Linked DNA regions of Neodiprion lecontei. The protein of the gene in region 1 interacts with the protein of each later gene in a pairwise test. Links are inferred from orthologs where the notes say so. Each region holds a gene or a part of one and is shown in the gene's direction. Other genes may lie near its edges. The genes, in order: peroxisomal membrane protein PEX16 and peroxisomal biogenesis factor 3.

What was found.
Region 2: the proteins of peroxisomal membrane protein PEX16 (region 1) and peroxisomal biogenesis factor 3 interact in binary tests that used the Homo sapiens proteins (3 or more experiments, as listed by UniProt). The link is inferred for Neodiprion lecontei from reciprocal best matches to the Homo sapiens genes PEX16 and PEX3.

Annotation. Positions count from the first base shown.
Region 1 is NC_060265.1:3,486,149-3,490,768, reverse strand, and holds peroxisomal membrane protein PEX16, read left to right. Parts: upstream 1-1,678; 5' UTR 1,679-1,687; coding exon 1,688-1,814; intron 1,815-1,899; coding exon 1,900-2,146; intron 2,147-2,233; coding exon 2,234-2,507; intron 2,508-2,598; coding exon 2,599-2,702; intron 2,703-2,784; coding exon 2,785-3,040; 3' UTR 3,041-3,942; downstream 3,943-4,620. Other genes in the region: UDP-galactose translocator, read right to left, coding at 148-163; toll-interacting protein A, read right to left, coding at 3,960-4,070, 4,149-4,325, 4,446-4,620. UniProt on the Homo sapiens protein: Required for peroxisome membrane biogenesis. May play a role in early stages of peroxisome assembly. Can recruit other peroxisomal proteins, such as PEX3 and PMP34, to de novo peroxisomes derived from the endoplasmic reticulum (ER).
Region 2 is NC_060262.1:21,936,216-21,940,421, reverse strand, and holds peroxisomal biogenesis factor 3, read left to right. Parts: upstream 1-1,560; 5' UTR 1,561-1,767; intron 1,768-1,849; 5' UTR 1,850-2,154; coding exon 2,155-3,294; 3' UTR 3,295-3,431; downstream 3,432-4,206. UniProt on the Homo sapiens protein: Involved in peroxisome biosynthesis and integrity. Assembles membrane vesicles before the matrix proteins are translocated. As a docking factor for PEX19, is necessary for the import of peroxisomal membrane proteins in the peroxisomes.

The DNA of each region.
Region 1 (4,620 bases):
AATGAAGAAATCTGGTACGACGACGAAGCATTTCATTGCAAGTAAAGTTAACTCAAAATTGTTGATAATAAACTAATGAAAAACGTGGGTATTATAAATATTAGAATTTAATGAATTACTATGGAGTGCAATAATTGATTTTCATACCTGATTGTTTAGGCATTTTAACGTCGAGCAGGCAAATTTCAATAACTGCAGATTAGAATGAAAATAAAATCCAACAATCTTTCATCGCACTTATCTGAAAATGAAATGGATAAATTTACAACGATCCATCATCGGGTATTAGGAAATACAGAGCGTTTAAGACAATGGGGGAAGGAATTTAATCAGACGACAATTATCACGAATAACTGTTTCGAACGTTCCAACAGTACGTCTGACATTCTTTAGAAATCCTTACAGTCAATGATCGTATCAGAGTTAACCTCAGCTCGATTAATTCCTTTTATTAATTTCTCCGCCTTCTTTTCCACTCTCAAAACCGAGAAATTCATTGGTTCAATAGCTTATCGATCACGGACAGGCGATAATTCGAGTACGTTGCAATATCAATATTTTGTCTGTGCACTTTCTCCACGTTAGCTGCGCGTATAAATCTGCTGTGCAGCTGTCAAAACGCTTGAAACGTGCATACATTGCATACGTATACATGTACAGTACCAAACGTTGAATCCGTAATAATGTGTGAAAATATAACTTATCTCGTATTTAATTATTGTCTGAGTCACGTATTTACCTTTGCTAAATATTCAGCCAAAGCTAATACGACCGCACACTGTAATATACACGTTGACACTAGGTACGGAAAGTAAACCATCTGCTGCCTGGTTCGGACAAGTTCTGACAAATTCTGACCACCCGACTCGGCGCCGGAGCTACGTCGGGACGAAAGTGATTGCACAAACGATAACCGCGATTCGAGGATTGAAAATTTGTTTACGAGCTTGCGACGATAAATGCATACCTACGCGATTTCACATGCGGAATAACAGTAGGTAAATTAATTCGAACAAAAGACTGACGGGGTCTACTTATTTCAATTTTCACGTTACGGATCGTTAGCCGGTTTTTCGAAATTTTTCAACCTGTACCTAAATGGGTGACATGTAGGTATTTGTAAAAGAATTTCGTTTCTCATTTACTTACCGTCAGATTTCCTCGCTGTCGCGTTGTGAAACGTGGCTCGATGAACAGCTTTCGAATTTAGCGTGGCGCGCATTGTGAGCATCGATGTTATACACAAGCGATTATAGGAGTTTCTAATTATGGATACATGTATGCACAACTGTTTTCGATGTTTGCTTTGACAAGGTCCGAACGATTACGCAACTAATTTCTTCGTGTCGGGAATTTGAATAGAAGTAACGATGTTCGTCGCCGTATGAATGTATTATCACGTATTCCATTGGATCGATGCAGTCGGTAGAACTACGACGACTCTTGTTGTCGACGATTTTACACACTTTTTTAAATTTTAACAGTCATTTACGCTCACAGTTTGCTGTTCAGTTTCGCGTCGACACTTCGCTGCACCTATCAAAGCAAATGAGTCACAAAAAAATGCCTCGTTATTCGAGATAGAAGCAGAACAATATCTGGATTCTGAAAGCTAACCTATAACGCAGAAACTGATGTAAATATTTCTTTTCATCGAGTCTTTGTCAAAGGAATAAATCTGTCCAAGATGCCTTCGCACAATATGAATACCGTTTTAATATACGTTGAGAAATATAAAAAATGGGTTACATCAAATCCTCAACTAGCAGGGGACATCGAAAGTACGGTCAAATGGCTGTCGTATTTCACCGCTGGTTCGTATTTATCCTAATCGACATGTTACTTGTTTCGCATATTGTTCAACCGTATTTAAATTGATTTACAAATTTTGTAACGCAGGACGGATAAACAATTCAACTTTGATGTCGGAGCTCGTGTATTCGATGTCCAACTTACTTGTACTGTTCAACGATAGGATTATAAATGCTAATACTCAGGTAGAGACTAAATTGCCAAAGTATCACTCGAAGATAAGAATTTGGTTGACTGTCTTGGAATATTCAGAAGTTCTTTTGGAAATTTCGGCGAGCAAACTGTGGGGAGAGACTGGAAAATGGCTCATCATTGTTATACTTCAGGCTTTTAAGTACATACCTTTTTTTTCGTTTATTTGAATAATTTCGATGAAGAAGTAACTCTCCGTTACAATTACATAAATTGTTTTTTACCGCAGATCGGTAATGCGGCTTTTGCTAGTTCATCGTTACAAAGAAAGAGTGACGCAAAGTCCTCCGATTCCACCAATCAAACGTGATAAAATATCCGATAAGGTCGAAACAATTGAGAAGGACGGTTTTGCCCTAAAAAGATCTAAGAAAGTCGTTCGAAAGGTCAATTCGGGTGGATGTTCTCAGTTTAGGTCATGGGCACCTATTCCTCCGTTAGGAATCGATGACCAACAAACCACCATTGATCTTACACCGAATAAAAAAATAATTCTCGCAGAGGTTTGTGCCGGCTAAAAAATTCCAATGTTACGAACTCCGGCTCATTGCAAGCATTAATTGTACCCAATTACGGCGTTGTTTACATTTTCAGACTTTGTATATTATCAAACCATTGTTGCACCTTGGATGCGTATCCGTAAGCGGACAGAAGCAATGGAAATCGTGGTTTTTATCTCTGATTATTGACCTTGCAAGGTGAGCCGATGAGGTGACATATATCTGTAAATAATTTTGACAGTCGACTAATAATTTTCACAAAACAACTCTAATTTTCCAGTTTGAAGTTGTACAGCAATGAGACAAAAGCAGTAACCCTGCGAAAGGAAGAGTTTGACGAAATCTCTCGTAGACGGGTTGCACTGCTCTTGTACATTCTTCGTTCACCATTTTATGATAATTACAGCCGCATGAAGATTTACGCGCTGCTTAAAATGCTATCGAGGAACGTTCCGCTCGCCAGAATGGTAACGGACCCAATTATTAAATATCTGCCACACTGGCAAAGCACATATTTTTATATGTGGTCATCTTGAAGTGTACTAGAAAAATATTTTGGCCAGGTAACATACTGTATTTTTGCCGATTCTAAGTCGAGCTTGTCGGTGTTGGGTGGAATACAAAAAATGTTTGTCCAACTTAAACTTAGTGGGGTCCATTTATATTCAGGTATTATTGAAATAATTGTCACCAACCTTGGGGGGCAGGGAGGAGGGGACTCGCATTCCATTATGGGGTATGGTATTCTGTGGAAAGAACTTTTTTTTTTCATTTATTATATGCTCTGATCCCACATTTAAAGCTTAAAAACGTGCAAATCTATGAAATGATTGCAATTTAAGTTATAAGTAAACGTCTATTAATATAAGTTATCGCATCAGCATGATCGACATTCCAAGTAAAGATGAGCACAGTCATGTCAGTATGGAGAATCTGATAATTCTTCGTAATAACACAATTTAAGTTGGAAACAATATTTCATATCTCAGGGAGCAATGAATCACATGCCTAGTGATAACGTTAATGTATTAACATTGGCAGATAACTATTGGAATAACGATTCACTGATCCATGTAGGATTTATAAGCTTCTGAAGTATCGAAACTTTAAGAAATTGTTATTATTCTTTAATTGATTAATTTAATCAACATTATATACAAATATTAATATTTATATTTATGCACGTAATTTTTAGTAAAATGAGTTATAAAATCGAGATGAACCCTATTTGAACTAAAGACCTATGTAGTTCAGTACAATGGTAATTACACCAAATTAAAATCTCTTCTGCAAGTTTGAAATATGAATCTTAAAACAGTTACGTATGTAACAAAGACAAGAGTAAAATTAATAACCGTTATAATAATTTATAAATATATTACAATTAAAATGGAATACAACTTCAGCGGAAAATACAGATATGGCAATTTGAATATGACAATGGTTTTTTGACATTTATTCGCACATTTGCAACAGAGAATTTATTGTCACATCCTTCTTTCCTTGATTCGCATCGTACACGGACTTAATGACCTCGGTATCAACGTTTGGGAACATCTCTGCGATCTGTAAAATACAAATCCAATACAGTTAGCGCTAAACTTTGCCAACATTCTATGACAACACTGACAAAATCCATATTACCTGTCTCAATTCAATTTCTGCGTTTGCCCTCTGACTCGGATCAACAGTTGGAACAGCAGCGACGGCAGGTGGAGTCGTATACACATTGACCGGTGCATATTGTGTCATACCACATAAATTAGTCGAAGGAACCATCATTACTGGCGTTTGACCAATGTATGGATTACCAGGAGTAGGCTGAATAAAAAATTTAAACGTCGTTCATCAATAGTAGGAAAAGAAACGCGCCAACCGTTATTGATGGATCAACGAGGTAACGCAAAGTTTTAAAAGATAAATTCAGTCCTTTCAAATTACCAAATAACTGAAAACCATGTTAATCATGCCTTCCTGATTATCCCCTTGTTTTCCACTAAGGGGATACCAGTCCTCGTGAGTCTCTCCTGCCAAAATTACTTGGGGTGGTATTTCTATATGACCCCAAGCGATAAGTTCATCCATCATAAACGAACACTCGTCGTAAATTTCAACG
Region 2 (4,206 bases), on another chromosome or scaffold:
CGTCTTTGTTCAGGTCGCTCGGATTTATGTTGAAGCTGATGACTGAAATCGCGTTGCACTTTTGCATTCAATGATAATTCTTATTTTATACCTATATGTATAAAATATTGAATAGATTTACGGTTGCATAGAATGTCTATTCTTTTTGAAGTACCATACGATTCTGACAATGTATTGACATGTGATACTTAAACATGAGTCTCTACGGGGTCTATCCTTGTTTTCGATTTAATCGAGGAACGGCGTTTGCTTACGCGAGCTTTGCTCGTGAGTCCCCATTCCGAGTAAATCGGATATTCAAATTTATTTATGATCTGCGGTATCGAATCGGATCATTCATGAATTAAATCGGGTTCTGTTACCGGAGTCATTGATAAGGTGGTCATTGACCAACTTTTTATTGATCACATATTCATACGGTACGTGTGCGATGTACACCATATTGAATTATGGTGCTGAAATGTGAGGATTTCCATAAATGTGTAAACTCGTCACACAACTTTTATATTTCCTCAATATTCCGCCTGATTAGGAGCAAAGGCTTTCGTGATTTATGAACAATCCGGTTTGATTTCTGTCAAGATAAACCAACGTGCAGAAACTGTAAAACATCTTCGCTGAAATACAAATTATTATTCAGTTTCTGGCTGCCAATTTTCTGGGAATTTGTTTCGCCCAGCCCGAAATTAGAAAACTAACCGGATGCGTCGAGTTTTGATCTATATATATGTTACTGAGAAAAAATACCGACTCGAAGTATGACGTAATTAAAGAAGAAACTAATTCCGAAAACACTCGTGCATTTAATAGTAATCTCATATTTAGTGACATCTTATATTGGGGTGAAAAGATTCAGTACTAACTGGGAGTCCCAACGAACAGGGCGCATCGTCATGTAATTCGATGAAACTTTAACGAAGTTGTACAGAGGTTGTAAAGTATCTACGGTTTACCGTGATTGATGAAACAAACCTGAAAAAACGATACATCTTTTGAATAAAACTTACAGAGACTAGCCGAAGTTTAGCAACTGCTGGTGTTGCAAATTCCCCAGTTTGAATTGCCTAGTTTAGATTCTTTACGACGCGACGTTTTCAGAAACAAATCATTATAAAGTTTAGAATCGAAAGAAATAAATTAATGATATAGCGATCAGAGAAAAAGAAAATTAAAAAATGTAACGAAACGTAAAAGAAAAAGAAAGTACATCGGTCCTAACTCTAACAGCATGAAATCTCCGTGATATAGTCATTAAAGAAAGACGAAGAAGGGTGAAAAAATTGATTTAAGTATTTTCTACGTTCAATCACGTTCGTCATGTTACACGAGGTCTATGAAGATTTTATGGGAACTGAGGTAACTCGCGTTGCGATACTGTTTCGGTATATTTAAAAAATACCTTTCGTGTACTTTCTGCAAAAAATTTGAAAATGTGGCGGCCTCAAGTGGAATGAATTGTAAATGTCGCATCGATCTAATCCTAGACCTAATAGAGGCAAAGAAGTGTTCTCGGCAAGCGAAGGAAGAGGTCCCCAATCGTGCTACCAGAGGGTGCCAGTGTCCGACTAACCACGTATAACGGCGCAGGAGTGACTCGCTAGTTTCAAGATTACAAAACAGGTTAGAGTTCACTGGCATAATTTTGGCCAAGAACAAGGAGTCAGGGCTTGAAGCATGAGTATTGATGGGGATCAAAGTTCGCAAGACGCGGTAGATCCACAGCTGCAGCATTTCATCGAAGTAGAAACGCAAAAGCAACGATTTCAGGTTAGCCCGTTCACCATGTTTGAGATCTTTCGTCAGGTAACCCTAAAACCCGTCGATACTACAAACAATTTTGATTTTGCAGGGCCTGGTCCACGAACTGACTGACATCTGCTGGGAAACCTGCATTGACAAGCCATCTGCCCGTCTAGAATCGAGAACTGAAAACTGTCTTCGTAATTGTGTCGAGCGATTCATAGACACTACTAATTTCATTATGAACAGATTACAGCGCACTGCTCTCAGCGCGCACCCTGAGTTGGCCATGGAATAATTCTGACGGCTCAGTATCAGATAGATTAAACACACTTTGATAGATTAAAATAAGTTTACATGTAACTCGGTTTGCAAGAAAATGATAAATGGCCCTATGAACTTAACTTAATCAACATGTTTTCACGTTTGAGAGGATTTCTGTATCGTCATAGACGCAAATTTGTCGTCAGTGGTATCCTGGTCGGTGGCATTATCGTGGCAACGAGGTATACCCAAAGAAAACTGCGGGAGTGGCAGGAGAGTGAAACAAGGATCTTCATAGAGAGAACAAAACGACAACAGCATTTTGAAAGCACGGAGAGAACATGCAACCAAACAATACTGTCTCTTGCCGTCGGCTTGCGGGATACCGTCACAAGTACCCTGAACACCGAAACCATAGTGAATAAGCTTAGGCATGGTTCGAACGACAAAATAGCACTTTGGAATGAGCTTAAGGTTCTAGCTGTTGCTCGATCAGCGGCATTAATTTACTCCAGTACAATGCTGGTTGCAACATTGAGGATACAACTGAATTTGATGGGCGGCTACATGTTCAGGGACTCGAAAAATCAGAATGAGCAAGCAAAAATAGACGGGGCAATGCAGGAGAGGTACCTATCGATATGCGAGTATTTCATGAGCGAAGGAGCTGTTAAGCTCAGTTTATTTGTAAAAGAAAAAGTCAAGGAGACGACCGCTTCCATATCACTGGCACAACAGCTTACCCTGAGGGATGTGGAACAGATATATTGGGGAATAACATCATCTATATCAGCGGATACTGAGAGAGATCCGATCAAAAATCTAAGCGCCTACATTCTGCCTCAAAATTGTGAGTCTACGGGGGATAAAATTCTCTCGAAAATAATATCGGAGACTTTGGATTTGCTTGAAAGCGAAGAAGTGCAATCCCTCGTTAGGTCAAGTGTCAGAACCGGTTTTGTCATGATGGTTGATCATATTTCTGAATATTTTTTCGACTCGTCTTTTTCTGGACAAGCTATGCCTGGTTCAAATCCTTTGGTCGCTATTCCAGGCCCGTCGACTCAAAGCGATTCGACTGAGAAGCCTATGGACGTTTGTAAGACAAACGGCTTTCTCAATCTTGACAAAATGTCCATGCCTATGGCCAAGCTGATCCCCATAGTCAATGGACAAGTGCCGGCCATTCCAAGAGCAGGTGATAGCCCCTCGCTTTGGGTAAAACAGTTAATTCTAAACGATAAACTCAAGACTCTAGGAGCCAACGTCTACGAGGCATTCAGCTTTTGAATATTACTCTTTAATTAAGATTTGGATAGAGGAACTATATATTTACAGCCAATCGTGACAGTGAAATAGTGGTGTGGGAGTCATAATAGACAATGTAAACGCGATGGAATGTTGATGGAATAAATTTTGTTACTCAAGTCTGGATGTTTTATATGAAATTTTAGGGCTGCCTATGCATTTGTGAATACACAATACCACACCTAACATGACGTAGTCAAATTGTCATTTCAGAGAAATATGAAGTATCAAGGTAAAGAGAAATTTGTGAAGGTTCTTAACAGATCAAATTAATGCAAAGCAATAAATACAATGCATTATGAATTTTACATTTAAGAACGAATTTCTTGAGAGTCGTGCATTTTTACAAGGTTGAAGTTTATAATATTAATGTAATGACATTTTTTAGCCAAAGATATTATTACGTTACTTTCAAATTTTCTAAAATTTAGTAAATCATAACAAATGAAAATACATTTATATTTTAGAAACTCGAACTGCTTCAGTCATACTAATTGAAAGAGGGGAAAACAGTGATTTTTGTTTCAAATCTTCGTTACTTCTACGTTACTAACTTCAATGACGTGCATTGCAACAACTGATACGGTATTTTGTAATTACATATTTTCGAAAACACCCACCGGTCGGAAATAATCGAAACTTAAGTTGTGCAGTAACCATGTTGCAAATTGAATTTGATCAGCATTATGAAACGAATATAAGTGAATATATAATTAAAGTTATATCCGTTGACTGAACGAGATTATTACATATTATTCATCATCAAACAGGTTCCAGATACTGTATATGTAGAGTTTTTGTCGGCTGTCAAAAACCTGCGTCTTCAGAGTTGCCAGAAAAAATTCAACCCGATAAGTTTGCAAAGAGTGAAAGAGGATATTTACTATTTCACGT